Linked DNA regions of Rattus norvegicus. The protein of the gene in region 1 interacts with the protein of each later gene in a pairwise test. Links are inferred from orthologs where the notes say so. Each region holds a gene or a part of one and is shown on either strand. Other genes may lie near its edges. The genes, in order: Nif3l1, Rabac1, Dhps, Trim27, Natd1, Dmrtb1 and Cdkn2c.

The links.
Region 2: the proteins of Nif3l1 (region 1) and Rabac1 interact in binary tests that used the Homo sapiens proteins (3 or more experiments, as listed by UniProt). The two-hybrid records come from large-scale screens. The link is inferred for Rattus norvegicus from reciprocal best matches to the Homo sapiens genes NIF3L1 and RABAC1.
Region 3: the proteins of Nif3l1 (region 1) and Dhps interact in binary tests that used the Homo sapiens proteins (3 or more experiments, as listed by UniProt). The two-hybrid records come from large-scale screens. The link is inferred for Rattus norvegicus from reciprocal best matches to the Homo sapiens genes NIF3L1 and DHPS.
Region 4: the proteins of Nif3l1 (region 1) and Trim27 interact in binary tests that used the Homo sapiens proteins (3 or more experiments, as listed by UniProt). The two-hybrid records come from large-scale screens. The link is inferred for Rattus norvegicus from reciprocal best matches to the Homo sapiens genes NIF3L1 and TRIM27.
Region 5: the proteins of Nif3l1 (region 1) and Natd1 interact in binary tests that used the Homo sapiens proteins (3 or more experiments, as listed by UniProt). The two-hybrid records come from large-scale screens. The link is inferred for Rattus norvegicus from reciprocal best matches to the Homo sapiens genes NIF3L1 and NATD1.
Region 6: the proteins of Nif3l1 (region 1) and Dmrtb1 interact in a two-hybrid assay, tested with the Homo sapiens proteins (2 studies listed by BioGRID and IntAct). The two-hybrid records come from large-scale screens. The link is inferred for Rattus norvegicus from reciprocal best matches to the Homo sapiens genes NIF3L1 and DMRTB1.
Region 7: the proteins of Nif3l1 (region 1) and Cdkn2c interact in binary tests that used the Homo sapiens proteins (3 or more experiments, as listed by UniProt). The two-hybrid records come from large-scale screens. The link is inferred for Rattus norvegicus from reciprocal best matches to the Homo sapiens genes NIF3L1 and CDKN2C.

Annotation. Positions count from the first base shown.
Region 1 is NC_086027.1:67,472,955-67,477,313, reverse strand, and holds the start of Nif3l1 (NIF3-like protein 1), read right to left. Parts: upstream 2,943-4,359; 5' UTR 2,889-2,942; exon of another isoform or gene 1,633-2,888; intron 1,268-1,632; 5' UTR 1,144-1,267; coding exon of another isoform or gene 1,137-1,143; intron 753-1,136; coding exon of another isoform or gene 730-752; coding exon 297-729; intron 1-296. Other genes in the region: Ppil3 (peptidyl-prolyl cis-trans isomerase-like 3), read left to right, coding at 3,888-3,890. UniProt on the Homo sapiens protein: May function as a transcriptional corepressor through its interaction with COPS2, negatively regulating the expression of genes involved in neuronal differentiation.
Region 2 is NC_086019.1:89,692,145-89,696,572, forward strand, and holds the start of Rabac1 (prenylated Rab acceptor protein 1), read right to left. Parts: upstream 2,874-4,428; 5' UTR 2,769-2,873; coding exon 2,713-2,768; intron 2,471-2,712; coding exon 2,258-2,470; intron 2,013-2,257; coding exon 1,915-2,012; intron 207-1,914; coding exon 105-206; intron 21-104; coding exon 1-20. UniProt on the Homo sapiens protein: General Rab protein regulator required for vesicle formation from the Golgi complex. May control vesicle docking and fusion by mediating the action of Rab GTPases to the SNARE complexes.
Region 3 is NC_086037.1:39,988,616-39,992,819, forward strand, and holds the start of Dhps (deoxyhypusine synthase), read right to left. Parts: upstream 2,804-4,204; 5' UTR 2,730-2,803; coding exon 2,523-2,729; intron 2,122-2,522; coding exon 1,957-2,121; intron 1,278-1,956; coding exon 1,156-1,277; intron 1,074-1,155; coding exon 977-1,073; intron 896-976; coding exon 809-895; intron 328-808; coding exon 222-327; intron 145-221; coding exon 41-144; intron 1-40. UniProt on the Homo sapiens protein: Catalyzes the NAD-dependent oxidative cleavage of spermidine and the subsequent transfer of the butylamine moiety of spermidine to the epsilon-amino group of a critical lysine residue of the eIF-5A precursor protein to form the intermediate deoxyhypusine residue.
Region 4 is NC_086035.1:48,243,202-48,247,542, forward strand, and holds the start of Trim27 (zinc finger protein RFP), read right to left. Parts: upstream 2,857-4,341; coding exon 2,437-2,856; intron 1,905-2,436; exon of another isoform or gene 1,766-1,904; intron 1,700-1,765; exon of another isoform or gene 1,562-1,699; intron 1,354-1,561; coding exon 1,258-1,353; intron 1-1,257. Other genes in the region: uncharacterized protein LOC134482717, read left to right, coding at 2,855-3,183, 3,788-3,824. UniProt on the Homo sapiens protein: E3 ubiquitin-protein ligase that mediates ubiquitination of various substrates and thereby plays a role in diffent processes including proliferation, innate immunity, apoptosis, immune response or autophagy.
Region 5 is NC_086028.1:46,086,959-46,091,346, reverse strand, and holds the start of Natd1 (protein NATD1), read left to right. Parts: upstream 1-1,517; 5' UTR 1,518-1,543; coding exon 1,544-1,640; exon of another isoform or gene 1,641-3,237; intron 3,238-3,315; exon of another isoform or gene 3,316-3,464; coding exon of another isoform or gene 3,465-3,534; intron 3,535-4,388.
Region 6 is NC_086023.1:127,678,427-127,682,708, forward strand, and holds the start of Dmrtb1 (doublesex- and mab-3-related transcription factor B1), read right to left. Parts: upstream 2,826-4,282; 5' UTR 2,758-2,825; coding exon 2,193-2,757; intron 2,171-2,192; exon of another isoform or gene 2,078-2,170; intron 1-2,077.
Region 7 is NC_086023.1:129,639,221-129,642,026, forward strand, and holds the end of Cdkn2c (cyclin-dependent kinase 4 inhibitor C), read right to left. Parts: intron 1,288-2,806; coding exon 910-1,287; 3' UTR 516-909; downstream 1-515. UniProt on the Homo sapiens protein: Interacts strongly with CDK6, weakly with CDK4. Inhibits cell growth and proliferation with a correlated dependence on endogenous retinoblastoma protein RB.

The DNA.
Region 1 (4,359 bases):
GTCTGTATTTCCAGCACTAGTGGATCTGACGCTCTCTTCTGGCCTGTGTGGGCCCTGCACACATGTGGTGCACTTATCCACAAGCAGGCAAAACATTCGACAGATATAAACATAAAGCGCATCTTCAAGTGAAACTTAATTACCAAATTTAAGCAACACATTATTTTTAATATTACATAAAAATGGAAAAACCTGTTGCCCCTAAAAACAATTAAAACTTTATTAGGAAGACATTCTAAAATTTCAAAGTATTTGTAAGGAAATCATTAAACATGAAAGGTCAAGAGTTTTCTCACCGAGCCCTTTGGCCAACCAGCTGTTGACTCCCTGGGGTGCGGCGTCATAGGCCGTGTGGGGAGAGTAGATGGCGACTCTGTTCTCCAGAGCCCGGATCACAAGGCGCTCCTTCCAGGTCTTCCAAGTTATGTGCTTCATGGGCCGGAAGATAGGTGGATGGTAGGAGAGAATGAGATCTGCCTTCTTTTGCAGAGCCTCCTCCATGACCTCCTCCGTCAGGTCATTGGTCAGGAAGAGTGTATTTACAGTATGGGGCGGGCTTGGCTCCACCAGCAACCCCACATTGTCCCAGCTCTCAGCAAATGAGAGGGAGGCAAAGTCATTCAAGGAAGAGAGAAGAGCCTTCAGATCCATGAAGGAACGGGAAGAGCTGCAGATCCACGATGGGGCACGTCGCACACTTGTAGGGACCACGTGTGCAGATGACAGCATACGGAAACCAGGTAGAAGGTTGCCTGGAATCACAGTAAGGAAATGGTATTTATGTACCATTCACTTCTGCACTTTGAGGCATAAAGCATGGGAGTCAAACAGCTCTCGCCACTGACCCAGATTTAAATAGCTGCTCTGCCCGCCCTGCAGCACGATGGGCACGGCCAAGTCACCTGACCTCTCCATTTCCTTCAAAAGCATTATTATGTCACTTAGCAGAGTATGATGAAATATAAATGCTCATCCCCTCTGATACCCCCCTGCTCCCCCAGCACAGCTTCAACCTTAGACCCTGCATCTCTGCTGCACACGCGCACACACACACAAAGATACGTACTAGACATAATTAGAACTAACTGACATATCAAGGGCTGAAGATGTAGCAGCTCAGTTGGCTGAGTGCTTACCTACCATGCACAAGGGTTTAGTCCCCAGCACCACAGAAACTGGCACTTGTCTGTGATCCAGTAGAGGACGAGGTGCAAGGGCAGTGTCAGCTATGCTGTCAGTTCAAGGCCAGCCTGGGGTACATAAGACCCTGTCACAAACATCATTTAAAATGTTGAGTACACGAGCAAGAACTGAGGCAGATAGGTCACTCTACAAATGAACAGAGCCAAGCAAGAAAAGGCCAGAGCTGTCGCTCTGAACATACAGAGCTGCTGCCCTGAACACACGACAACTGCTACACAGAGAAACAGAGAGGAAAAGCACAGGGCCCCTACCCACATCTTCCATGGTCATCAACTGAATGGTGGGAGGGCAGTGCCAGCAAAGAACCAAAACAATTGAAACCAGAGAGATATATTTACAGTGTGATGTGTGATCTGAGAGTTAATAGTAGATTTGAACAAAGGAACATGTTTGCCTCAAACAGGTATTGTAAAAGTATCTTTTATTCACCTGGTGTAATTGTCGTCTCCCATCTGTCGGCTACCCTGGGCCCAGTCCTGGAAACTTCTAGCCTCTGTACAATCTTATCTAAGCCTAGAATGGTTTCAGCCCCTAGGAATTACTGCTAAATAAGCTCACCCTTTCTAAGCTCCGGCTGGCTGGTTCAACTCAGCTGTTCTGGCTTGAAACTCTTCTCCAAGCTGACTGATTCAATCTGGCTTCTCTCTCAGCCTCTGACTGAATTGCTCTGCTTGGCCTCAAACTAATCCTGGCAATCTGTTCTAATCTTTTGGCCGTTTCTTGTTCTCTGACTCATTCTGTCTTTACCTGTGTCTAGCTTGTTTTCTCTTCGACCTGTCTCTACAAAACTCTCCTGGTAAAACTGCCCCCGTCTCCCTCTCTGTGCTGTTCTCTCTTCAGTCACCTCTCTATTCTCTCTGTTCTGGCGGGAGTTGGGCATATCCTATTCTGTCAACGCTTTCTCTAATTCATCACTTTGTTTGTCACTCAATTAGACATCACTTTCAAACATGGGTGCCTCCTTCCACAAACTAACCTTCATTGTTTGGGAATAAAGGTGTGTGCTAAGGGCGGAGCCACCCTACAACTGAGAAAGGTTCCCCCCCCCCCCCCCAGTAAGTAACACAATCTCAGGGGTTCACAGTGATCAAATATCCTGTAACAAGCTACCAACAAAACTAATGTAACTGGTAGTTTTATTGTTATTCAATAAACTTCTATTGTGAGAGGACAAGAATGTGTCCCGGTCTGTTTCTGACACAATGTGCTCACACTACAGACACATTTAAAGCATTATTTGAAATATGGGGCCTTCTGAAAGCACTTAAGATTGGAGAGGACTTCACTCCAATACCACACCCTCGCATACGCACTAGCTTGAAAGAAAAACCGCACTAGTGGGTGTGAATGAGAACTCCGGGAAGGGCGAGTGAATCGGGGCTGCAGTACATGGCAGAGATAGAACTATCCACTGCCAATCTACATTATCTTTAGCCCTCTGAACAGCCATTTGCTATTTTTCAATTACACGAGCGCTCTCTTTACACTCACGTACGGTTCTTCCTACTTTCACTTAAGCATGGCTCAAGGCCTTTTCCAGAATAATCAAGGGCCGCGTGGCACAGCCTTTACTCCTGGAGTCAGGACCCTCGCCCCTCCTGCAGCAAGGCAGTTCTCCTCCGCAATGTTCCTATGTTCATGTTCCCCGGCACCCTACAGTCACCACAGCCGGCCCCGATGTGCACCTCCAGCGTGAAGAACAGACAGCCCCGCGAGCTTTTCTCTCCTCCACAACCCACGAGTCGCAGAAACTCTTTTGGTGTGTCACTTCCGCTCTGCCCTGAAGCTCCTGGCAATGTAGGAAGAAGATGGGCGGAAGTGGTCCGGTGCGCTTTGCTTCCGACTCCAGACGACTGTATGAGGTATCTGGGCGCTGTAAGGTTGTCCGTAGAACCCTCTCGCGGTCAGAGGGGGCCGAGGAGTGAGGTGCATGCCCCACCTCCCCATTCCACCCCTCCCCAGGAGCCCTAGTCCGTGTGCTGAGGAGAGACTGGCGGGAGAGTAGGGCGTTCTCTGCGGAGAGCCCCGCGCCTCACTTCCGGTGGTGCATTGACACTCTTGGAACCCGCAGGCATGCCGGCACCTGTGAATGAGACATTTTTGTTACCGCAGCAGCGGTGCTGAGCGAGGTGTGTAAGTGCGGAGTAACGGCTTTTATCCTTTTATTCCTCCACTCAAACGCCTGCTGCGCCTCACGTTAGTGCAACTTTATTTCTTGGGATACTCGTGGGCTGGAGGTGGTGTTTCTAGCACTTCTAAATACGATTGTGAAGTTAGCAAGACTTGGCATCTGTAAAAAAACTGTGAAGTATGGAAGTTTGTTGTACTTACTGTCTTAAGTAAAGTAGGTGTCCGGGATAAAGGGAGCTCCGGTGCCTATCTAGAGCACTAGACCGGGAGGTAGGAATGTGCCTCCCCTGCAGGAAAAAAAAAAAAAAAAAAAAAACTTTAAGAAAATGGGTAAAGTAAGTAGAGCGCTGCGGTGGTTTGTTGCGTGGGTAGGATCTCAACACATCTATGGTCGGACTTTTATTTAGAGGATGCTATTCTACACTTTTCGTTGTAAATCTACTATAAGGATGAACAAGTATGGTGAGAAAGATAGGGTAAAGTGAACTAATTCCTCTCTCTTTTAGGAGCTTTGAAAAATTAAATAGTGCTCCCTAGAAGCATCAAGAAGGAGAATGGTGAGTATTGTAGAATTATTCTGAGTGGATGATTGGCTGTTTGTTTTTATCCCCTTTGGATTCCCTGGAGCTGGACACAAGCAGATGTGGGTGCTGGGAACTGAACAGGTCCTCCTGCAAAAGCAACAAATCCTGGTAACTGCTAAACCCTCTCAGCAGCCCAGGCTTGGTTTTAAATTATGATTTTTTTTTTTTTTGTAGGCGGTCAGACAGGATACCGAGTATGTAGCTAGCTCAGTGGCAGAGTGCATTCCTAGGGTGAGGGAGGAGAGGGGAGGGGGAGGGGCGGGAAGACTGAGAGACACTGTATGTCCCACTGAGAGAGTACAGAGTAGAGTGAACGCGTGGGCATGATCATTACAATGATATCTCGATGCTGTGATGGCACAGGTCTACTGTCCCAGCATTCAGGAAGCCAACTCGCACCCAGTCTCGTCTATAGGAGCTCCAATCCAGGCCATCCATGTCT
Region 2 (4,428 bases), on another chromosome or scaffold:
TATAAGTACCAGGGTGGCTCCTGTAGGAAGTAGGAGGACAGGTGGTTCAGGACAGGCTCGCTCACCTGGCTCCCAGCCTCTCCCTACACAGACCCTGTACTCACCCAGGACCCAGAAGACAGCGGAGCCAGCACCGGCCAGCCAGAAGAAAGGGAAAGAGACACCACCAGCCAGGGCGTACTGATGTGCTGGGCTCACCTCACGGCCTGGGGACAGATGGTGTAAGACAGCCAGCCGTTCCCAGAGGTAACCAGAGCCACTTTGCACCCATCTAGTGTGACTCTGGAACCTTCCATGTAATAATACAGACTCCTCACATCAGGGCCTCCCACCCCTGGCCCTACCCCACCTCCCCAAAGTGACCTGTCCCCATAACGACCTTCCTCAGCTCCGCCCCTGCTCCACCTTCCCCAGGAGCCCCAGGCCACCTCAGTCTAGGGCCTGATGTTCCAGTCTGGTTACCAGGTGGCTCCGAGCCAAATCTGACCTGAGCATTTTTGTCCTTTTTTTTTTTTTTTTTTTTTTTTTTACTTTTTAAAGATTTATTATTTTGAACTATGTGTATATGCCCTGCGTGGGCATATGTACACGAGAGTTCAGGTGCCCGAGGAGGTGGCTATGGTGCACCCACCTGACTTGGGCGCTAGGAACCAAACCCACATCCTTTGCAAGAACAGTATTCAATTCTAACCACTGGGCCATCTCTCTAGACACTTAGTCTGATTATTATTTTTTTTTAAAGATTCTGAAGCCCAGGCTTATTTTGAACTTGGAGCAATTCTCCTGCTTCAGCTTCACAAGTGCTGGAATTCCAGGCACAGGCCAGCTTCTGTTTTGGGGATGTGTTCTCTGATGAGCTTCACAAGAATTTGGTTTGTGAGGGTTGGAGAAGGTGACCCAGCAGTTAAAAGCACTTGTCTTCCAGAGGGGCTCCTGCATTACACATTTTTTTTTCTTTTTTTCGGAGCTGGGGACCGAACCCAGGGCCTTGTGCTTGCTAGGCAAGTGCTCTACCACTGAGCTAAATCCCCAGCCCACACATTTTTTAAGGCTAGGACATGCTGGCCCTCTTCTTCAACCCTAGTACTCTGGACACAGAGGTGGGGGGAATCTGTGAATTGGAGGCCAGCCTAGTGAGTTCCTGGGAGACGACATAATTGGAACGAGACGCATTCCCTGCTCTCAATATATATAGAATATATATGCTTCCCCTCCCACCCCCCCACCCCCTGGCCAGGCTCTCCTATGCCTGAGAAACGTGTGCACCCTAGTGACCACTATCTGCAGAAGCCAAGTTCCAGTATTCCTTTGCCACAGCCCATCTTTGTCTGGTACTTAAACTTGCTGGGTCACGAAAGACTTGGTTTTTTTTTTTTTTTTTTGGTTCTTTTTTTTCGGAGCTGGGGACTGAACCCAGGGCCTTGCGCTTCCTAGGCAAGCGCTCTACCACTGAGCTAAATCCCCAACCCCCGAAAGACTTGTTTTAAGTCTCCTTGGAAACCCTTGGATTTCTCCTCAGAGAGTCTTCCTTGACACCTTTCTTCCCAGTGGGGCCTTTCCCCTCTGAGAATCCGAAGGTTTGGGAAGGAACACGGATCTAAGCCTGCATAAGGTCGCCATCTGGTGTCCAGTATGGGTATCTGCAGCTGATGTTTTACGTCGGGGTTTGGGAGGAACTGGATTAAGTCATTTACCTGAGACAGAGGTGCCAGGGGCTTTGGGGTCTCTCTGGGTTTGAGAAGCTGAGACTGGAGGGGAGCACCTGGTAGGTCTAAGCCCTTAAGGACCAGGTTAAATGACTCTAGTGTGCATCTCGGTAGGGGCCGACTTGAGTCCCAAATATTCGGAGGTTTGCATTCCGTGAGACCACGATCAGAAAGGCTTGGGAAGCCATTTGGGCAGGGGATTTCTCACCAAAGAGCACAAGCTTAGACTGCAACGTGCGCAGATAGAGAATGTAACAGGCGCCAAAGAAGACAGCCAGAGCCACCAGCAGCATGGGGGATGTCACCCTGGAAGAGTGTGGGAGACAGGAGTTAGGTATCCGAGGCTGCATCAGCCAGGTCCCTGTAGCTTTGGACAAACAGAAGTTACGTCCTTCTAGGTCAGCGAAGGTCACACTGCACCCTGGTCAAGTGGATGCAAGAGTACAGACTGACCAGGTCTTGTGGTGACAAAGGTGCTAACTGGTCTGGGCGGGGCCTGGCAGCCGGGGGCGGGGCCGGACTATCGAGGGCGGGGCCGCGGAGGCACTCACACGCAGTACAGGATGAGGCCCAGAAACACAAACACGTAGTTGCTTTGATAATACTCCACGTTGCGAACCAGGCGCTGGCAAAGCTCGCCTACGTTGCGGGGTCGCGAGAAACGTTGCTGGTCCACGAAGGTGCCCCAGGGCCGGATGGTAGCACGGCGCCGCTCCAGCCACTCTCGACCTGCGCCAGAGGGAATCAGCTTGGGTAGCAGGGTCCTAAAGGACGGGGCAGAGAAGATGAAGGCAGGAATAGGGTACCGGACCCCAGATTCTAGCATACATGGTCCCAAGGTTGACCTTGAACCCTGGGGGGGGGAAGGGTCCTAGGAGGAAGGTAACACAACTGAGTCCCTCCCAGGGGGTGAGGGGCTGAGATGTCTCTGAAGGGGAGAGATCTATGCTTGCGGGGGCAGGGACTTCTGCGTCTCGGATCTGGGGGTAACACCCTGCTTGCTCACGTGGCGCTCAGCCCTTCCACTTCGGCATCCTTCTGCTGGTCCTTCTGGGCCGCCATGTCTGCGCTGCAGTGAATAGAACCGCTGTAAATATCCCCGAGCCCAGCAGCACCTAGGCGGCCCCACCCGAGCCGGACTCAATGGAAGTGGCGCCGCTGGGAGCTCTAGGGGGCGGTAGTTGTGCCTCGGAGCATTGTGGGTGTTGTAGTCCTCGTGGCGTCAAGAGGCAGGTTTGCCTCGCAAGACATCTTGGGAGATGTATGCTAAGAGCTCGGGAGCCACTAGGCATTGTGGGAATTGTAGTTTCAAGAGGCGCAGAGTGGAATACAGCAGGTGGGCTGTCAGGACAGAGGATTTGATAGGAGTTGGAATAGCAAAAACAGGCGAAAACAGGCGATCTACATGCTTCCGTGGACCATGCAGAGCTGTCGTTCTGACTCCAGAAAGCTGATTCTGTTTGGGCAAGCCTGGGAAAGAGTTCATTTACCTTTTCTTTCCTTAAAAGAAAAGTACTGGGGCTGGAGGGATGGCTCAGTGGTTAAGAGCACCGATTGCTCTTCCTGAATTCAAATGCCAGCAACCACATGGTGGCTCACAGCCATCTGTAATGAGATCTGATGCCCTCTTCTGGTGTGCCTGAAGCAAGCTACAGTGTACTCATATACAATAAATAAAAAATCTTTAAAAAAAATCTTAAAAAAAAAAAAGGAAAAGTACTTACTTTGGAAGTGGGGCTGGAGAGAGCTTACTTGTTTCTCTTTCAAAGGATCATAGCTTGGTTCCCAGCACCCACACCCAGTGGTTCACAACTGCCTGTAACCCCAGCTCTAGCGGATCAGATATACTCATGTGTACATGTCCACACTCAGATACACATTATTTAAAAATAAGTGTTTCGGGGGCTGGAGAGATGGCTCAGTGGTTAAAAGCACTGACTGCTCTTCCAGAGGTCCTGAGTTCAAATCCCAGCAACCACATGGTGGCTCACAACCATCTGTAATGGGATCCAATGCCCTCTTCTGGTGTGTCTGAAGACAGCTACAGTGTACTCATATACTAAATATCAAAATAAGTGTTTTTATTTTAAAAGAAAAGATTTACTTTTATATGTTTATGTGTGTGCGCCACCAGAACAGGTTTTAGATCTCCTGGAACTGGTGTTACAGGGCAATCATGAGCAGTTGGGGTTCCAGTCTGGGCCACTCAGCAGGAAATTGTGTTTGGGTTTCCCACTTGAGGTCCAGCATTGCTTCAGAAGGTCAGTGGACGACCATATAGTGTACAGTTAGCCTAAAGACTAATGAGGGACACCACAAGGCCAGCCTTGGGAACCATTTGGTGGCAAAGGTCAGCTGGGTTTGACAGTTGTGGAAATCATTTCAGTTTCTTTTTGAGGACTACGCAAAAGTCTTTCTATTTCATAACTCTCAAGTCTCTGCTCCTCAAACACAGCAAAGATGGAGAGCAGCCATGTGGGAGGCAGGGTTTCCGGAGAAGGCAGAGGTATGTTGCAGAAAGTGGCAAGCTAATTGGGAGAATGCAGGAGCCTTGAATACAGGGGATTTTACGTTTGGTGTCTGGGGCAATTGGGAAAGGAGTCCTTTGGGACAGTGGAAGCCAGGACCCTCAGGTAGAGATGTGATGGGGTGGTGGGTGGTGGTAATCAGGTTCCTGAGAGAGGAGGCTCGTGGTAGATGGGTTTTGAATCAGTGGATAGGT
Region 3 (4,204 bases), on another chromosome or scaffold:
GCAGAGGGTGGGGATGGCTGCCAAGAGCCACTCCACTCACCATGAGGTTAGCATTGGCGATGTGGTGCTTGACCACGCCTCCACCCAGGATGATCATCCCAGTGCGCTTGGCGAAAATGGCCTGCATGTTGATGAGCCGCAGGTCTGGGAGAGAGGGCAGAGGTCAGGCCTTGGACTCGGTGGGCTTTTCTCACCCTTCTCCCAGGGCCTTAGCACCTCACCTTCAACGATGTCCAGGACCAAGCCTGGGTTTTTATAGGAATGGAAAAAGATCATGTCACCCAGTGAGCCGTCTGTGAGTGCAGGACTCAGCACAGGTATGTGGTTCTGGTGGAGATAGGACCAGTTAGCAGCTACACCTCATACCCCAGCAAAACTGATGCCCAACCCAGTGGCATCCCTCCCGACCTGAGTAGGCTGCTTGATTTCTCTGGTGCACATGACCCTCTGCTTTGCATGTGGATGCAGACGTGAGGAAAAACCACACATGGCTTGAAGAAGGTACTGGCACACTGAGCAGTGTCTTATTGTCCAGACTCTTGAGCTGCACTGTCCCTGGGCACATGGTACCCTGGGTCAGGCCCCACCGACTTCTAAAGCACTACACCGAGTCCCAGGAGTGTAGGGGCATAGCTAGGAGAACCCTGCAGTCAAGTGACGCCTAGCCTCTCTGTTCGACATTCCTCGTCTAACTCTGGGAAGACCAAGAATGATTACTGAGACTTTTAGGTGGCTACTAAGTCAAACAAGTCATTGCAAGTCAAAGCCTAAGTACTGTCCCCAAGAATACTGTCCCCACCCAACCCACCTTATGGGCCCAATAATACACAGACTCTGGGTTGTTGATCTCCTTCCCAAGCCGGGAGATCATCTTGGAAGGTGTCCACTTCACACCCTAACAAGGGGGAGAATATCAGTATTAGCCCATGTCTTCTGACTCAACTATGCAGGTCCACCTGAGCCCTTCCAGCCCTACCTCTGTATTCTGCTCCTGCACCATCTGGTCTAGGATGGGCATGAGCCAGTCCTCAAACTTGCAATAATTGTCATTTGGCACCAGCAGGTTCCCGATCCTAGAAATGGGATCCATGAGGGCATCAGACACTGGGACCCTCAACGCGGCTTCCCTGCTCCTACCACTACTCAGAGCCTCACCTGTTGATCCCATTCTCCCGGAGCTCCTTCCCCCTGAGGCTGAACTCGCCCAGATATGTGGGTGCCAGGCACTTGATGAGATCTTCTTCCACCCCTCCAGCAGTGGTCACCAGTACATCCACCTGTGGTCACCAGCAACAACACAGACCCTTCTTCAAAGTAGTGCCCCTAACATTGGCCTGAGCTCATCCAGACCCAAAGCATGAGCTCTATGACAAAACCAACTCAAGCCTAAAGCAGACCCAGAAAACGTGGCACACTCTTGTGATCCCAGCACTCAGAAAGGAGGCTGAAGTCTAAGAACTGCCAGTATGGGTCTAGAGAGATGGCTCAGCAGTTAAGAGCACTGACTGCTCTTCCAGAGGTCCTGAGTTCAATTCCCAGCAACCACATGGTGGCTCACAACCATCTGTAATGGGATCTGATGCTCTCTTCTGGTGTACATGAAGACAGTAACAGTGTGCTCATATACAAAGGAAGGAAGGAAGGAAGGAAGGAAGGAAGGAAGGAAGGAAGGAAGGAAGAAACTGCCAGTATGTCTAAAAGCAATACTCCATTTCCTCACACCCTTTAAGATTTATTTTATGTATGTGAATACACTCTCCCTCTCTTCAGACACACAGAAGACCCCATTACAGATGGTTGTGAGTCACCAGGTGGTTGCTGGAAACCAAACCCAAATCTTTCACAGAACAGCAAATACTCTTAATCTCTGAGCCTCTTCATGTTTCTTAAATGAACAATAACCCTTTTGTCTACTGGCCCAGAGAGGCTGGGGCCACTGATCTAACGTGGACCCACCATATTGTGCTGCACGAGGTAGCGAATGGTCTCCCGGATGCCAGAACTGATGAGGTTGGACGTATAGCCCAAGAAAATGGTGCAGCCTGTGAGTGGGCGGCGGCTCTGAGTCAGGTCTTCGTGATGATCTTCATCTACTGCCAGTGGTTCCAGCTTCTTCTCAATCTGGGCATAGGGGCACAGTAAAGTTGCACTAAAACTCCAAACCTCAGTGGAGGAACCCCACATGAATTGGATTCCAGACGTTGATTGCACTCAGGGAGACTACTACAAAACCAAAGCACAACCCCTGTGCAGACCCTAACCCTCCCATTCCAGGTCCTGGTCTGTCACTTGGGGTTTGTTCCCTTTTAAGAACAACACAGTGTCTTCTCTTCAGGACTCCTTCCAGTGGGAAAAGCGAATCCAGGGCTCTCCCAGCGTTAAGCTCCTCCTACAAGCCCGTTTTGATTTTAACCCCAAGCTCCTCCCATCGCGGAACACTAGTTAACCAGGACTCCGCCTCTCCCCGGCACTCACGCGGACGGAGCGGCCCCGCCTCCCACCCGGGTCGCCCGGCGCCTCACCATGGCGTTGACTTGCTGCACCGCGCGCCCGAAGTTGGTGGCCTGGAAGCCGGTGGTGCCGTAGGCTTCCAGAAGCGCGTGGTAATCTACCCCGCGGTTGAAGTCGTAACCTTGGACCTGGGCGCTCTCGGGCGGCAACGCTGAGCTGTGCTTGAGCACAGCGGCCAGCGCCGAGGAGGGCGCCGCCCCCGACGGGGTCCCCTCCATGCGCTCTCGGCCGTTCTCTGGTCACAGCAGTCTCGGTGCCCTGGAACCCGCCAAATCCTTCAGCTTGGTCCGCCGGAGCCCAGGAAATGCGACTCGGGGGCGGGGGAGGGGTACCGGAAGCTACTTGAGTCACATGGCCCTGGCAGCGCCTGCGGGCCTGGTAGCAGCCATTTTATTCCCGTGTTCCGTACATGTGGTCCAGGAGCTGTTTGTTATTCCTTGTAGGCAGATTCAGCTTCAAGTAGATAAAAGTGCCTGATTTGCAAACTGTCTGTCCAAATATTCTTGTCCCCCCATGAGCGAGGTGATTGTTTCTAGGACGGAGCCCTTGGACAAGTTAGTTGCAGACTTTTGTCAAATGGGAGTGTTTTCTTTCGGTGCTTCCTCGAGTCGCTACAAACTTCTTTTCCCCCTACAACCATAGTTCAATTTTCACTGGATCATAGGCCTCTGGGGAGACAGGGATGACCACCATCTTTTTGCCGAAAGAAGTTTGTTGAGAATCTTTTCTCATGCGTCCCCTTTAATGATACACTGAACCTAGGACAGGGGCACCCTCATTCTACAGTTTGTGTAATCTACACTAGAAATAGTGCTCTCTGCTGGGCGCTGCGATTTAGCAATGGACTCTGCCCTCCTGATGACTATAGTCTGATGAACAGGAAACCATTAGGTGGCTAAACCAGCAATCAGGAGGTGGAGGCAAAAGAATCTCGAGTTCCAGGCCAGCCTGAACTATTGAAAGCAAGACCCTTTCTCAACAAAAGGGACGGGCATGGCTAGGGAAATAGCTGTCTGTACAGTCCTTGCTTTGCAAAAAAGCAAGAGTGTGGATTGAATATGTGTGTTTAATTGCCAGAACTCAAGAGGGGTAGGGGGTTGGCAATACCAGTAATAGCTCTGGGTAAGCAGAGACCAGTAGATCCTTGGGGATGGGACCTGAAGAATGGCTCAGTAGCCAAAGGCCCATGATAGAAGAGTCTGGACCTGTTTACATTATTGTCTGACCTCCACAAGCATGCCATGCGTGCACAAGCTCATACACACAGGTTTAGGGACCAGGTGAATGAGAGTGACATCTGAGGTTGTCCTCTGGCCTAGAAAACACACACACTCTGTTAAGTGTGAAGGTGGGTTGGAGGAATTGGTAACCAGAGCTGAGGGAAAAGGTGACTGGAGAAAACTGCCAAACACATGATGTTTTGACTGAGGCCAGAAGACCCAGAAAATTCCTGTTATAAAAATATCAGAGACACTATTTCCCCAAAGATGCACAGATAAAGGTCTCCCCTTCGTTTAACCTCCTCTATAGGCTAGCAGTGCCCAAATGCCACATCTGGCTGCAGGGAGATCTGCAATGGGTAGTATGCAGGAGGGCAAAAGGACTTGAATCCCAAGTGAGAGTCTGATGACACCTACTGCTGTAGGGAACAGGTTCCGTGAAGGTAGCCACACTGCACTGAGTCAGAGAATGA
Region 4 (4,341 bases), on another chromosome or scaffold:
AGGTAAAGACACTGAAACTCAACTGTCTTCCTAAAGTCCATGTTTGCACAGGTCTTGTAGAATGCCATGTAAGCATAAACTAGACAGGCTGTCTAGGCTGAGCAAATGGCACAGGCAATAAAGTGGGGAGAAAAGGCATTGTTCTACATGACTGGAGCCCATGAACATCTTGCCTGGCAGGCGGAGTCATGAAACAATCACAGTGAAATGGCAGGGTTAGGTGTGCACTCTGTGGACATGACCTGGTATGATCGAGCAAGCACAAGTTTCCTGGATGTGTTTACTTGGTCTCAGTAAGTAATCCATGCCCTGATTTTTTAGGGGGTGCTTATGGGTTCCTCTCCATACAATGTTTCTATTGGTTTGTCTATCTTTCCTACATTTCTAATTCCTCCATGCCTGCATTCCTAGCACTTGGAAGGCAGACAAGGCAAGACTGGAACTTCAGGATCACTCTTAACTATATAATGAACTTAAGATCAACTGGGGCTACCTAAGACATCCTAAAAAACCTAGAGTTCTAAGATTATAAACCAAGTGTGGCAGTGCATACTATAATTCCAGCACTTGGGGAGACTAAGGCAGGAATATGGAGAGTTCAAGACCATCCTGGATTGCATAGTGAAACTATTTCTGAATAAACAAATGGTCAGCAAAATGGCTCTAGAGCAGTCAAGAAAGATTTTACTTGAATCCAGCCAAACCCACTCATTTATGTATTAGACATGGCTGTTTTTGAGATGCAATGACTGAGGTGTTGTGATTTAGCTTGTGTAAATTAACAAAGCTAAAAATACTTATTACTGGCCCCTTTCAGAAAGTTTGCTAAAATCTGACTTGAATTCAACTGTTCCAAGGGCCCCTTATACCTCTTTTAACCTGGATAAGTCTTTCAAAGGTATAAAGTATACAATATAACCTTAGACAAAATTAAGGCTAAAGATCAATTTACTGAGTATATCCAAAGCAGTGTGACTGACACACTGGCACAAGTATTTCTCTCTGGAAAATCCTCCCAAAGCTGATATGATACATTGTATGTTTAAGTTTAGTCTACACAAGATCACTGAGAAGTTTCTTCATCCTGTTTTCAAGCAAGAGGTGTCAAGATCGCACTCACTCAGAGACAGGATGGAGCTAAATGATAGGAATGACAGACACCAAGGGGAAATGCTCTGCTTAGAAGTTTTCATTACACCCTTGCCAAGGCTATCCTGATGCAATGCCTCTCTGCAGGCTGGAGACCTGGACCCTTACCAGGAGCTCAGCTCGTGCCTGCTCCCCCTGTGCCCTCCGTCTCTTCTTCAAGTCTTTCACTCTTCTTAGGTGGTCCAGCCGATTCTGGATTTGCTCCTGAAGAAAGTAAACAGTCAGCCAATTCAGAATTTTGCAGATCTCAGCATCAAAATAGCTACTCTGCTTATGACACAGGAACCCAAACTACAGATGCCAAGGCCGGGCTGGACTCTGTCCTCAGACCACAGTGCCATTCCTGGGAAGAGCCTAAAGCACAGGGTCCAGCACAGCTGTTTTAGAAATTTGTTAAACTCAAGCCACCTACCAGTTCCTAGAAGCATTCTGCACAGGTTATGAGACATCTGGGTAAAGAGGCTCAAAAGGTAAGCTATTCCTCAGACGAATACAGAAAAAAATGATTTATTTTCCTCATGCACAGAACTGGTAAGCATTACTAAATTACAACTTTATTTCCAGTGAGTGAAATGATACAGCTTTGTAAACGTGACTGACATTTGGATGAACTCACATTTAAACAAATCTAACTGTTGGTACATATCCCTGCAGTCCTCAAAACAGACTCATTATCACTTGAGAGTTACTTTATATGTAACATTTTCGAATTACTGTGTAGCTGTGCCAGTGTTTATTCAACAAAGGCCTCTTCAGGTCCTGTGAGTTCACTTCCTCTTCATTAAGTTATCTCCCGAGTCTGAGAGTGGCTAAATGATTTACTCAAGCAGTAAAGAGCTCTGTTCATTTCCATTAGGTTCTAAAACAGGTTACAGGGAAGCGCTGGGGGCTTAGATTAAGTGATAGGCATCGGTCGATGTGAATTCGGCCAGCCAACAGGGGCTGTCTGGTTTGATATCCTGGGCCAGAGCAAGTTCGAGGTGTTCAAGGCCTATGGAAGTGGACATGGCTCCATGTGCATCTCCTTTGTCAAGGGAGGGTCTCCTCGCGCCGTCCCAGCCGCGGCACGCGTTGAGGCAGTTAACAGGGGGCGCTCGGAGAAGGGGTGGGGGTGGGGACGCCTCTGGCCTCGCCAGCTACAGGTTCTCCTTCCGAGTCTGAGCGCGGAGGCTCCGCAGCCGACAGGGAGGAAATGACGGCGGTGGGCCCCACGTCCGGCTCGCCATTTTCTCGGCGGCAAACCAGGAAGCCCCCGGCTCTCCTCTTTGTCCGCCGGCCCGGCCCTACCTTGAAGCCTTCCACAGCCTCCTCCAGCGGCAGCACGCTGTGGCCACGGTGCTCGCGCGAGCGGTCGCACACCACGCAGATGGGCATCTGGTCCTGCTCGCAGTACAGCTTCAGAGGCTCGCGGTGCTTCTCGCACACGCCCATCTCGCCGTCCGGCCCCGACGGCCGCTCGGTGCGCAGTTGCTTCACCAGCTGGGTCACGTTGGCCAGGTGCCGGTTGGGCCGCATGTGGCGCTGCGGGAAGGTCTCCCGGCACTGCGGGCACGACACGTTAGTCTCCGCGGCACCCCAGCAGCGGGCCAGGCACGCGCAACAGATGTTGTGGCCGCAGTCGAGCATCATGGGTTCCACAAAGTATTGAAGACACACGGGGCAGGTGGTCTCCTGCTGCAGGGACTCGGCCACGCTCCCTGAGGCCATGGCGCGAGCCGGCTGGGCCGCAGGGCATGAGCCCGGAGCCGAGCTCTGGCAGAGCCCGGCGCTCTCTCTCGGCTTCTCAGATCCGGAGCGGGGTGGGGCCTCCGGCGCGGGGATCCTAGACGCGTGCGGAGCTCTGGGGCGGCCAGACCCGTCCCCGCACAGCTGCACCTCACGGACAGCGCGGGAAGGCCTGGGCCCCAGGGCCCGGCTGAGAGCCGAGCAGAGGGGTGTCGGGAACCCGGCGCTGCAGGATGGCTCACCGGGCAACGTGGCCGCGTCGGAAGGGATCCCAGGGCCGCGCAGACTCCTAAGGGCCGAGCGGAAGAGGTGGGCCGGGGGCGGGGCCTGGCTTCCCGCGCCGCTCTCCTCCGGGGCGGGAAGGCGGGTTTCCTCGGCGCAGTCCTGGAGCCCCGGTACCCAGCCCGGGAGTCGGTGGTGGTTGCCCTTTGCAGTGGGAGCAGGGTGTCCCTGGCAGTGGGGTCGGGATACTCTAAGCTTTGGTGGATCCGTAGTCCTTTGCCGGGTGTCTTCTTAGTGCCTAGGCCTTGGCTCCTTTAAATGCAAGGTGGCTTTGCATAAGTGCCGGAAAACTGGGCTGAGAGACCAGCTAAGCCCCTCCCAGTGTGTGAAGCACTCTGAAACACACCCAACTCCAGGCGATAATAATCGCCAGAAAAAGGTTTTATTATCAGCAACTTTTCTCAGTGGCAGAAATGGAGAAGCCCACTTCTACTTCCACCCTAAAGTAAGTTTGTTTATCGTTCCGAGCCTCATTTTCTTCTCGCGTGAAATGGGGGATTGATAGAATCCAGACCAGAGTGCTCACCAGACCCTGATACCTACTGAAGTCCTTCCCCTTCTCTCTAGCCTTCCGGCTACTAGGGAGCTGCCTCACCGAGAGCCCGCTTGTGAGTCCCTAACTTCTTAACAGGCTCCTCTGGTGCCCAGTTTCTCACTTCCTCAAGTGAAGTAGCCAGACCAGACATATCAAAGAGCTACTTGATGACACACTTCTTCCCTACCACCTGCTGAGGAAGGAGCCTGGCCGCGGGTTCCTATGAGACCCTAGAAGAAACGACCCTGATTCTGCCACGTGGGCTTCATTCTCGAACACTCCCCAGCCCCCACCTCCCCCTGGCGCCTGTGGCGCGGCCAGAAATTCTGATTGTCCACCGCCTATCTGCCTATGGCGCTAATAAAGTTCTTACTCCCAGCAGTCTGTTTCAGTGTCTTCCTTGAGCCCCCATACACTGTTGCTTTCAGGAATTTTCCCCATCCGTGAGTTAAACTTTTTAAAACACAGCTTGAGCCATAAAGATTTTTATCCATTAGTTTAAATGAAGTGTCCAGTGCATTGAACGGCATTGAGTAGAACCTAAAACTTGCTTGTTTCTGCCCAATTGAGAATTCTGCGACGACCCGAGGAGGTCTTGTAGGCTAGCTTCTTATCACAGAATAGATTTGCAGTTCTGTGCCCTGTCACTT
Region 5 (4,388 bases), on another chromosome or scaffold:
TTGTTTACAAATGCTGTGGTAACAACACACACTTGTTAAGGAAAGGAAATTATTTGCTCAGAAAAGATTCTCTCAATACTATGTCTGGCCCCGAACCAAGCAATAAAAATAATTGGAAGAAGTCAAAGGAACAATCTGTGGGCAAAAAAACCAGGGGAAAGTGTTCATTAAGTGGATATATAAATGGCCTGGCAGGCTGGGAAAAGGTTCAAGAGCCAGTCACTGCCACTAATGACAAAATGCCCATTGCAGCTTACCCAGCCATCTGTAGCAACGTAGGTAAGATTGTAATATGGAAAGGATCTTGTAGTTTTTCACAAAACTAAATATAGACCAGCTATAAAACTCAGCAGTATATTCCTGGGAGCTACCTAAGGGAATGCTGGCCAGAGGACATCCACGTTACTCATAGCAGCCCCGAACCAAAACAACACAACAACCTATTAACACGTGATGGAAAACTAGTACATGCTCACTGGAAAATCTCTGACACAGTGATGAACATGATAGCAGTAACAACATGGCTGATGACAGGTGGAAGCAAAGAAACTAGATACTGAAAGGTAAATATTGTGTAGTTCCATTTGATAGGATGTTCTTAGGAAAAGCTGTTTAGTCAGTAGTGCTAAAAGTCAGGGGGCAGAGCTACATCAACCCACGGAGATCTCCATTTAGCTGTAAAATACTTCCTGGTTGGTCTGTCCCGCGCCTCACACACCCCCCCCCCAGCCATCGCCCTCCTCTGTCTCTTACACACACACACACACACACACACACACACACACACACACACACACATTTTGTACAGGTTTCAATTTACAACCTTCAAGCATTCCATTTGAGGTGTACTCAAACTTTCTGTATGTTTATCTGTGGTCTCTTAGATACGGACATCAAATGTGCACCTTAATTAACAGAATGTGATTCTGTGAACATTCTCGGTGGGCAGGCTTTCCAAATACTATGCTTCCAGGGAAACACTGATTCCTGGGTAGCTAGCTCCCTAGGGACCTCACATTTCTGCCTTTCTTTAGGAGGGGTGGCTTTTCACCCAGTCCTAAATATGCCTCGGGGTAATCTCTCAAAATCAGCTACAGGTGCCCGGAGTGGATGGGCTGCATAGCGCCAGCCCGCACGGTTCCAGCTGAGAGTAGATATACCTTGCGTAAAAGAGGTCTGACATATCTATGCCTCAGGCTTGCAGTGAGGCCAATGCCTAAAATTCGATGGCTGTCCCGGGGAAGTTCAGAATTGCCCCACAGGTCATTGCGTGCTTTTCAGATGGGTCCGTGTGGGTCCTAATGATCATTCTGGAGCATTCAGGAAGACAATCGGTGCCCTTGATGGGCCAGCACATCATTGTTGAAGCCGCGAGCGAAACGCGCAGCGCGGTCTCTTTAAGAGACTCCAGGAATGTATCCAAACAGACCGTGCGCGCGTGCACGTGACTCACAGCTGATTTCCGGCCCCGCCCCCTTCTCCGGCCCGCGCCGCCGAAGAGTCAGTTCGCTGCGGCCCGCGGTCCCCAGTCTTGGTGCGCGCGATGGCGCACGCTACCCCGCCGAGCGCGCTGGAACAGGGAGGCCCCATCCGCGTGGAGCACGACCGCCAACGCCGCCAGTTCTCCGTGCGCCTCAACGGTACCGCGCTGCCTTTGTTTGCGCGCGCGCGCGGGCGGGACGGGGCGGGACCTGCGGGCGGACGGATCCCCGGGCGGGAGGGCTCCCGAACCCCGACTGGCACCGCCGGAGCGCGCCGGTCCGGGCAGCCCGCACCTGCTAGCGTAGCCGGCCTTCGGCATCGCGGATGGAGGGCTGCCACCCTGGATCTCAGAGAGCCGGTCGCTGGTGGCCTGCCACTCCACTAACCCCCGGGTGTTCGGTTGCTTCCTGCCGCCCTGGGGGAGCCTGCGCGGGCCTAGGGCATAACCCAGGGAATGTGTGACCTGGAGGAGGAGGCGGGTAGTGAGTGATTCTGAGACTTTGGCCAACTTGTCTAGTCTGTGTGTGCCTCGGTCTCCCAGAATCTGCAGTGCGGATAGCTGTAGTGCACACCGCTTTGGCTGCAGTGGCAGTAAAGGTTCAGAATGACACATTTGGTGCACAGCAAGTGCTGATAAACATAGATAAATGGTTACTTTTCAAACCAGATAGAGAGGTCAAGGCCTCATCTTCTGTAGCATTTGTACCAGCAGACCGACACTCCTCCCATTTCCCTAAGGTCTGGAAAAGATTGTGGAATATGGGACCTTGAACTCTCTGTAGCCCACTCCTCCCAGCTGGACCCTCTGGGGACATCTGAGACCGGACTTAGCCACTGCGCTTATTTTGATTGGATGGATGCACTTGTGTGAGGTCAGCCAGTAGGTTGTAAGTAGTCAAGTGTAGCACCCTATCCTGACTTCCTGAGCCAACCTGCACTTGGTCACAAGCAGAGGAGGCCTAGTCTCCCATTTGTGCCACCTAACCTTTGTGGCGGCAGCTGTTACTTCCTGTGTTGTGACATACCGCCCCATTTATAGATGAGTAAACTGAGGCTGAGGCTGCAGGAAGTGTGACCTGTTCAGCCTTAACAAGACCAGAGTCATATTCAAATCTGGGCCCAGCCGCCCCATGCCATACTCTTTCCATAGAGAAACAAGACCTGTTGTCATGCTGATGGTAGCTCAGCTGACAGTGACACTTGGCCCTGATCACTTGAGAGGCCTTATCTGAGGTTTTTTTTTTCAGATCCTCTTTTCTGAAGTTTTTCTTAGTTCCAGGGAGGCTCTGCTTCTCTAGGTGACTGTGGAGGCACCTCAGATCCACAGAGAGAAAGGCCAAACCCTTGGGCTAGTTCGTTTGTTCGTTCTTTCCCTTCCAAATGGGTCCAGTCAAAAGGACAGTACTCTGAGAGCTGGCTGCGAACAGACCATATTCTTAAAAGTTAACCGTTCTGCAACCTGCTGCCCCATTGATGGGGACACAGAGTGACTAGAGGCGGGCAACCACTCCTCAGCTCCTCAGCACAGCCTGGGCTAGTAATTTACTGAGTACCTACCATTTACCAGCAGTCTTCAGATGCCCAGGACTTGTGGGGCTGGCAGTCTAAAGAGGGAGATGGGTCTCAAATGAATTGCGTAACATCTCACAAAACAAAGGCCCTTGGAGAAGTGAAGCTGGGCGGAAGGAAAGGGTATATTGGGGCAGAGCTGCTGTTTGGCATCAAGTTCCAAGCAGGTGGTATTTAAGTAAAGACCTGAAAGAGACAAGAAACAGCTGTAGCGGTGAAGAAAGGCAGCAAGTGAGAGGAGTAGTTGAGAGCAAAGGCCCTGCAGTACCCACTGTGTGTTTGAGGGCACCCAGGAGTGGTGCAGGCATAAAGGAGCGTGACAGGTAGGATAAGGCTAAGAGATCAAGGGGACGAATAATATAGGACCTGGACATGTGAACTGGGGTGTGGCTTTGACCTGTGGGTTCCTAAAAATGCCTTGGAAAGAGGACAGATGCCATGGACCAGGAGCCCTAAGGCTGTGTCGAGGGGGAGCATACTGTGGTACGTGATAGAGTGGGGAGCTTCGTACTGTACAAGTCGAAGCAGTGTGAGCAGGGTTGGGAAGAAATGTCTAAGTCCTGAGCAGCTGTGACAGGGAGCATGGAGGGAGTTTGTTGTTGTGGAGGAGACTGGAACCCAAGTTACATGGCTCCAGTTTGACGTTCTGAAAATGCTGGGCGTGTAGCCACTGTTCCGTGCTTGGGAGACCAAGGCACAAGGCTGATGGACAACTAGTCCAGAATGGATCCTTGATTGCCTTCTGAGAGTTGTCATCTGAAGGCTGAAAGGTTGGGCCCTTGCATGGCCTTTTCTTACTTCCCTCAGCCACTCAGGGTTTGTGTGTATGTGTTTAAAGATTTGTTTTTGTTTTTAAATTATTTATTTTATGTATGTGAGCACACTGTCACTGTCTTCAGACACACCAGAAGAGGGCATCAGATCCCATTACAGATGGTTGTGAGCCACCCTGTGGTTGCTGGGAATTGAACTCAGGACCTCTGGAAAAACAGTCAGTGTTCTTAACCAATGAGCTATCTCTCCAGCCCCTAAAGATTTGTGTTTTGTGTGTGTGTGTGTGTGTGTGTGTGTGTGTGTGTGTGTGTGTGTGTGTGTGTGTAAAAGTCAAATAAGAGCATCAGATCAGGCAGCTGGCGTTAGAAGCAGGTGTGAGCTGTCAGACATGAGTGTTAGGAACTGAAGTGGGGTCCTCTGTAAAAGCAAAAAGCCCTCTCAACTGTTGAACCAGCTCTCCAGGCTCTGGGACCACTACTTGTTGCAAGAAGGCTCACTCCAATCCCTCCCAGAATCCTCTGTGCCCCCAATATGCTTGTGTAGGTCTGGGGCACTCCGTCTAG
Region 6 (4,282 bases), on another chromosome or scaffold:
ACTGGACTCTGCTTCAATTTCAGTTCCTGGCAGTGCCGGTGTGAACGGCACAGCCCAGGCAGTTTCCACTGTGGTCACAGAGACACCATCTCCCCTCTTCATTTCTAGCCCCGCTGTCCTTGAACACTCACTCAGCCATGCTGTTTTGCTCTTTCAGCCACCTAAGGACCTCTCCAGACCAGATGGCAGCTGGCTCATCGATTAAGAAACCTCTCTTGGGGTTGGGGATTTAGCTCAGTGGTAGAGCGCTTGCCTAGCAAGAGCAAGGCCCTGGGTTCGGTCCTCAGCTCCGAAAAAAAAAGAAAGAAAGAAAAAAAAAGAACCCTCTCTCACTGATGCTTTGAAGAACATTATTTCTCCCCACAAGGACAGGATCCCAGAGGGCAAGGAAGGTGTGTTAGTCAGTTACTTGACACTGGGACAAATACCCTGGCAGTTTAAAGAGGGGATGACTCGTTTTTGGCTCACAGTTCAGGGCTCTTAGCCCCATCGCCTGTGAGTCTTGGTGAGGCAGAACATCCTGGTGCTAGCTATGGTGAAGCAGAACAGTTCATTTTCACCAGGAAGCGCCAAGAGAACGATCTGCTAACAAGCTTTCTCTTTCTCACCTTTCATCCTATCCAAAACCCTAGGCTGAAATGGTGGCACCCACATTCAGGACCCACCTCTCCTACTTAAGTAAATAAACTCTCTCTGGAAAACACCTACCAAAATGCATCCAGAGTTGTGCTTTCTGGGGGGTTTCTCACCAACCCATAGGACAATCGAGAACAGCACCATCAGGGCCAGCAAGATGGCTGGGCAGGTAAAGGCACCTGCCACCAGCCTGACAGCCCGAGCTCCATCCCAGGGAAAGAACCAGTTTCTCAAAGTTGCCCTCTGACCTCTCTTTCACACATGCGGGGATTAGCCACAAGTGACTCCTTCTCCCCACCTCCTTATGAACACCCGAGTTCAGCACATTTTAAAATTCTATTTGTTGAGAGATGGAATACAGATGTGCTCTCACAGGATTACAGGTTTAGGTCTGCCTTCCTCATCAGACAGATAGTTCCTTGGGGAAAAGATTTTTTTTTACAAAATCCCAGAAACATTAGGAATGATTAGCATTAATTTCTGAAAGTCTGCCCCTCAAGGAAGAAACATGTCCAAAGGAAGGAGAGTTTAAAAAAAAACTAAAACAAACAAACAAACAAACAAACAAACAAAAAACCACATCTTCATCCCAAAGAGACGCTTTCCAAGAGCCTCAAAATTTACACTACTTGAAAACGGCATACTTCACGGGCTAGAGAGGTGGCTCAGCGGTTAAGAGCGCTGGGTGCTCTTCCAGAGGACCCAGGCGCAATTCCTAGCACCCACATGGCAGCTCACACGAATCTGTAATTCTAGTTCCAGGAGATAAGACACCCTCACACAGATATGCGTGTAGGCAAAACACTAATACATTACAATAAATAAATTATAAAATATAAATACTTTTTTTTTTAAATTCCACAAGAAATCGTACTTTAATCAGGTACGCAACACGGCATAAAGAAACAATATTATTTATGCACAAAGCGAGGAGTGAGAAAAACCGTAACATCTGGCCAAGTAGCTGAAAGTTTTATTCCCAACCACATCCGGTAAAACAGAAAAAGTGAGTACAGGTGCGTTAGGCCATACACTGCAGTTAAGATAAACTAGACTCCGCTAAATGAGAGAAGGGTGCGCAGGCACAGTCTCAGGCGAACAGCCACCCAGAAAGCAAGTTCTAAAAGACTCTCTAGTAAGAGAAAATGGCAGGCAGGGAGTGGGAGGAGGGTTGTCACGCAGGCGCAAGACCGCTAGACATGGGAGGGGGAGGGGAAGGGAAGCCGTGCGAGGCGTGCTAGAGGGTCCACAAAAAGGCGCCACTGCCAAAGCTGCCCAGCTGCCATCTTTTTTTCTTTGCAAAAGTACAAAGGCAGAAAATTGCATCTCAACATAAACCCCCCTGCACCGCTCACTCTTTCCCACCAGCCTTTTCCCATTGCAGTCAGAAGCCGCCCACCCAAATCCTTGTCTGGGAACGTGTTCTCAAAGCGGGGGTTACCTGGGAAAGGCGCCTTTCCCACCCCAGCACCAGTCTGGGACTCCAGCTTAGAGCCGGGAGGCTGCAGGCCTGATGCAGGCCAGAGGAACCGTCGGCTGCACGAGGCTGGGCTTACCGTAGTCGGCGAACGGCAGTCGGGGCACGGGCCGCACTGGCAGGTGCTGATCCGGGCAGCAAAGCTCAGGCCTGGGTGCCTGTGGCCTGAGCTGGGGCAGCCACGCGGGAGGACGGTCGTGCAGTCCCCCGGAGCCCCCCGATCCAGGCTGGAAGGTGCTGGGGCCTGGACGGCCACTTGGGACCAGTTGGAAGGCGCTCGGGCCTGGGCTCCGGGCCTGCGGGGACCTCTCTAGGAAGCAGGTGGCCGCGGGGCCTGGCCCAGCACCTCCCAGAGCCGCCCTAGGCAGTGGGCAAATGCTGGAGCTCGAGGCAGTGGCCGTCGCGGCTGCCGGAGCCGGAGCCCTAGGAGGCAGCTGGGGACCCTGCGTGCCCACGGTCGCCCCCTGCTCCTCCGTAGCTTGGTTCTTGAGCACCTTCTGGGCAGCCATGATCTTCTGGCGCTCGGTGATCAGGTAGCACTTATCACAGATGCAATGCTTCCAGCGGCATTTACCCGCATGGCCCTTGACTGGTACCAGATAGCCGTGGTTCCGGCACCTTGAGCACTTGGGGGTACGAAGCATCTTGCCGTTCAGCTCTGCAAGCTCTGCTTCCAAACACAACCACCACTTCCCGAAGCTGCAGAGCGAGTGAAGCAGGAATGAGCTGTGCCCCCATAAATCCCTGGTGCAAGGGACATTGGATACACTTGTAACAAAACAGCTCACTGAGTGTCCCGAGAACTGCAACAGGGCTCTTGCATTTTTCCCACTTTCCAGGTGTGTGTGCTAAATTTACAGTGTTTCTGTGTGTTGGGCCATGGGGTGCGGAGTAAACTCAAAATAGAATACTTATTGCATGTATGTCATATGAGTTATTTGAAAGTTTTTGGCACTTGAATTTTCAAGCTTTCTGTTCCTACCAAATTGTAATTGGAAAATAGGTTTTTGTTTTGTTTTGTTTTTTTGAAAAATGGCGGACGTGTACTCAACGGTCCAGAGGTTTAAAACTCCTGAGGATCAGAGCTGTTAGTAAACCCATACTATTGGAAAGTTCCAGAGAACACAATGTTTCTCCTCCCTGAAGCAGCTGCTTCTGCTTTCATTTCTCTCCTCTGTAGAGAAAAAAAGCAGTCATGCTTCCAGAATATTCTTAGGAGCTTAGTGCCGTGTTGGTTACTTACAGGCATTGCAGAAACCCTGAGTTTTTGAGTTCTGTTTGTGTCAGCACTCTGGTCTGAAAATTTCATGCTTAATAATGTTATAAAGTAAAAGAAACATGATATTCCGGAACTATTTTGAATATTTGGGTTTGGGGTGTGTGTGTCTGTGTGTGTACGCATGCGTGCGTGCACGCGTGCGTGCGAGCGTGTTTATTGTTTCACATAGTCTTTTAATCATCTTTAGGAAGCCAAACAAAACTTACAAGAATTCCTTAGCCACTGTAATACAACACTGATGGAGGGTGCGTACTTCTCTCAGGAACGGGAGCCATAGAAGTAAAACATTTTCAAGAACCTTCCCGAGATATCTGCTCATCCAGTGTGGGGCACGCAGCCCAGCGTGTACAGATCTAGCTTGGGGGAGCTTGTTCCAGGACGGTGTTCATACCCAGAATCTACTGATATTACAAGGAGCCGCGATTTGCTTGTTTTGTGACAAACCATGAGTTCAAGTCTGTTTACTCTTAGAGGAAGGGAACACCCAACTTTGCTGAGTAGTCCTACCCAAAAGAAAAAAAAATTACACACACACACACACACACACACATACACACACTACGCACGCACGCACACACGCATGCACGCACATGCAGACGTGCACATACACACATAAGCAAACACAATTTCCATTTTAAAAAAAATCTAATAACCCACACACAACCTGTCATTTAAATACACACACACACACACACACACACACACACACACACACACACACACACACACACATCTGGGTTAAGGACATGTGCCTCTATCCTGGCTTTTGTTCTCTCTCTCTCTCTCTCTCTCTCTCTCTCTCTCTCTCTCTCTCTCTCTCTCTCCTCTCTCTCTTTTCAAAAGAAATATCTATGGTGTCTTTCAAAGGGTTTCAAAAGGTAAAGACAGGC
Region 7 (2,806 bases), on another chromosome or scaffold:
ATGGGTTTTTTTTGGTTCTTTTTTTCGGAGCTGGGGACCGAACCCAGGGCCTTGCGCTTCCTAGGCAAGCACTCTACCACTGAGCTAAATCCCAGCCCCTCATTTTATGGTTTTAAAAAGTCACCTAACCTAAGGGAAGCACCACGTCAGTGGTGCTTTTTAGAGCTGATGCTCTTCCAAAAACTACCTTTCAGCCAGTTGACTCAAATTTGAGAAAAGGGGGTTGGTTGGACATTACAAGGAATTCATACTGAAATAATTTCAAGCCTGATCTTCGAAATTGCTGGGCATATTCTTTTTTGAAGCCAAAATACTAATATGAGCAGAGCCAGCCAATGGATTCTTTGAGGGGGCAGGGGAAGGAGATAAGAGGACTGGCTCCACTGCAGTCACACTGGCACCAGGCTTCCAGTGTGTTCCTTTCTAATGCTAAGACTTATGCTATCATGAACTCTAACACACTTCTTACAAAGGGGTGGGCTGTAATCACAGGTAAAAATCACAGGAAAATGTGGTCCTCTTATGAAAAAATGTGTTTTAATTAGGCAAAAGATGCATCAGGACAAATAATTTTTAAAACAAAGTCTCCAAGTCAGACATTGAGAATGGCAAAGGGTAAGCAAGGAAAGAAAAAAAAAATCAAAGATAAAATATCCAGAAGAAAGGCACAGATAGCCATATGCAATTACATGTTAGAAATCAGAATTTTGACAGTGAAAAAGATGTTTAAATATTTCATAAACTTGTAGTAAGATTTCCACTTAGGCAGTTTTGAAGGATTTGACTAGCTGCTTAAAATATGAAAACAAAGCAAAACGAAACCCTATATTTTAATAAGTGATAGTAAAACAGGACAGCCAGCCAACTAAGGGACAAAGAGAAGGCGGTGGGTGGAAAAGACCACCACACTCACTGCAGGCTCGTGGCTCCCCCAACCCCATTCGCCTCCATCAGGCTGATGACCTCATTTCTTCCATAGAACCTGGCCAAGTCGAAGGCGGTGTCCCCCTTATGGTTCCGATGCCCCACATTGCAGGCTGTGTGCTTCATTAGGAACTCCACCACAGGGAGGTGGCCTTCTTTGGCAGCCAAGTGCAAGGGCAGGTTCCCTTCATTATCTTCGATGTTAACATCAGCTTGGAACTCCAGCAAAGCCTGTACAGTGTCCAGGAAACCTGCTCTGGCAGCATCGTGAATGACAGCAAAACCAGTTCGGTCTTTCAAATTGGGATTAGCACCTCTGAGGAGAAGTCTCCTGGCAATCTCCGGATTCCCAAGTTTCATAACCTAGGAAAGAAGTTAAAGATGGGAGAATCCCTCCAGGCTTGAGCCACAGCAATATTTAAAGACATTTATTTGTCCTATTTAGGTAACTATTTTTGATTCAATTCTTGAAGAAGACCCATAGAATACAGTTTGGAGGTTGTGGCAGTAGGAAATTACCAGTCAATAAACATAGAAGAAAACCTACAAAAATTGATGAACTAGCCTAAATCAGCCCAGATGTAGTAGAATAAATTGGTCAATAAAACAGAATTCTTGAAACACGAAGAAATTTGATGGCTAATTTGGTTATCTTTCACAAAGACCTGTGTGTGTGTATTTTTCCCCCATGAATTCTTTTTCTTTTTTTTATAAAGGAATGTAATTTGGGTAAAAGGCCTCCTGTTTGTTTATTCATGCTCATAAACTATACCTGGAGTATTAATTCTGGAAGATTAAATGAGGATAAAATTTATTTCCTAATAGCTACTGAAAACCAATGATGGGAATCTTTAAACTTCCCCCATAAGTGTCACTTCCTATAGAATGGATCCTTTAAAATCCCAGAGTTGGCATTTTCTTAAATGATTAGTTTTAACAAGGCTCCTCCAAATAGATATGCTTGAACTGTCCAAGCATTAGTATGTTTTCTTTACAGGCTAAAATATTGGCTACTGGGAGCATTCCATGCTTAGGCTTCATTTCAAATTACAGAATATTACTCGGCCATTTAGGTATTAAATTAAGCCACTGTGTTCTACATTACTTACTATATCGACTTATTTTGAACTAAGTTGGTGATGTGCCTCACATCAGGGAGGAAATGATTGCATGGCTACCATCCCTGAAAAGAATCAAATGGCCATCCTACTATATTAATAGGACTACTCAAAGTTCTAACTAGCTTTCTGGTACTCAAGTGAACAAAAAGTAAAAGCAAGATATGTGATGTGTGTGTTGGAACAGTCAGCTTTGTCTTGTGGTTTGAGTCATTTAATAATCAACTGGTGAGCCTGTCTAATTTCCGTTTGCACTCACTACATATGAGAATAGCTATTTGTAAACTACCACTGTTTTGAAAGTCAGAATAGACTATCAACACTTGCTATCAAGGCTCAAAATATTTTATATTACACGGAATTATTTACTGCTGTTTAAATGTACACTTTAAAAGCTATCTTTAAGTAAAAAAACTCTCATAAGTAAAAATACTTTGTATAACAGCACTTGAGAGCAAAAATATATTTAATTAACTTGTAAAAATTATTTTCATTAACATGCCAGAAAATCCAAGCATTTGAGCTGGTTTTCATTTGTAATTGGGTACACTCATAAGACTCTAAGTTATATAATAATATAGTAAGTGGGCTACTTACTGGATACTCAATATTTATTAGAATCAAATACTAATCCACTTGAAAATATGAACAAAGTTGATTATATCTCTTTAAAAATGTTTTAAGAGAGTACAAATTAATAAAATATATTTGGAGCGAATAATAGTTTATAAGTACAAGTACACACATTGTCAAGATACTAAGTT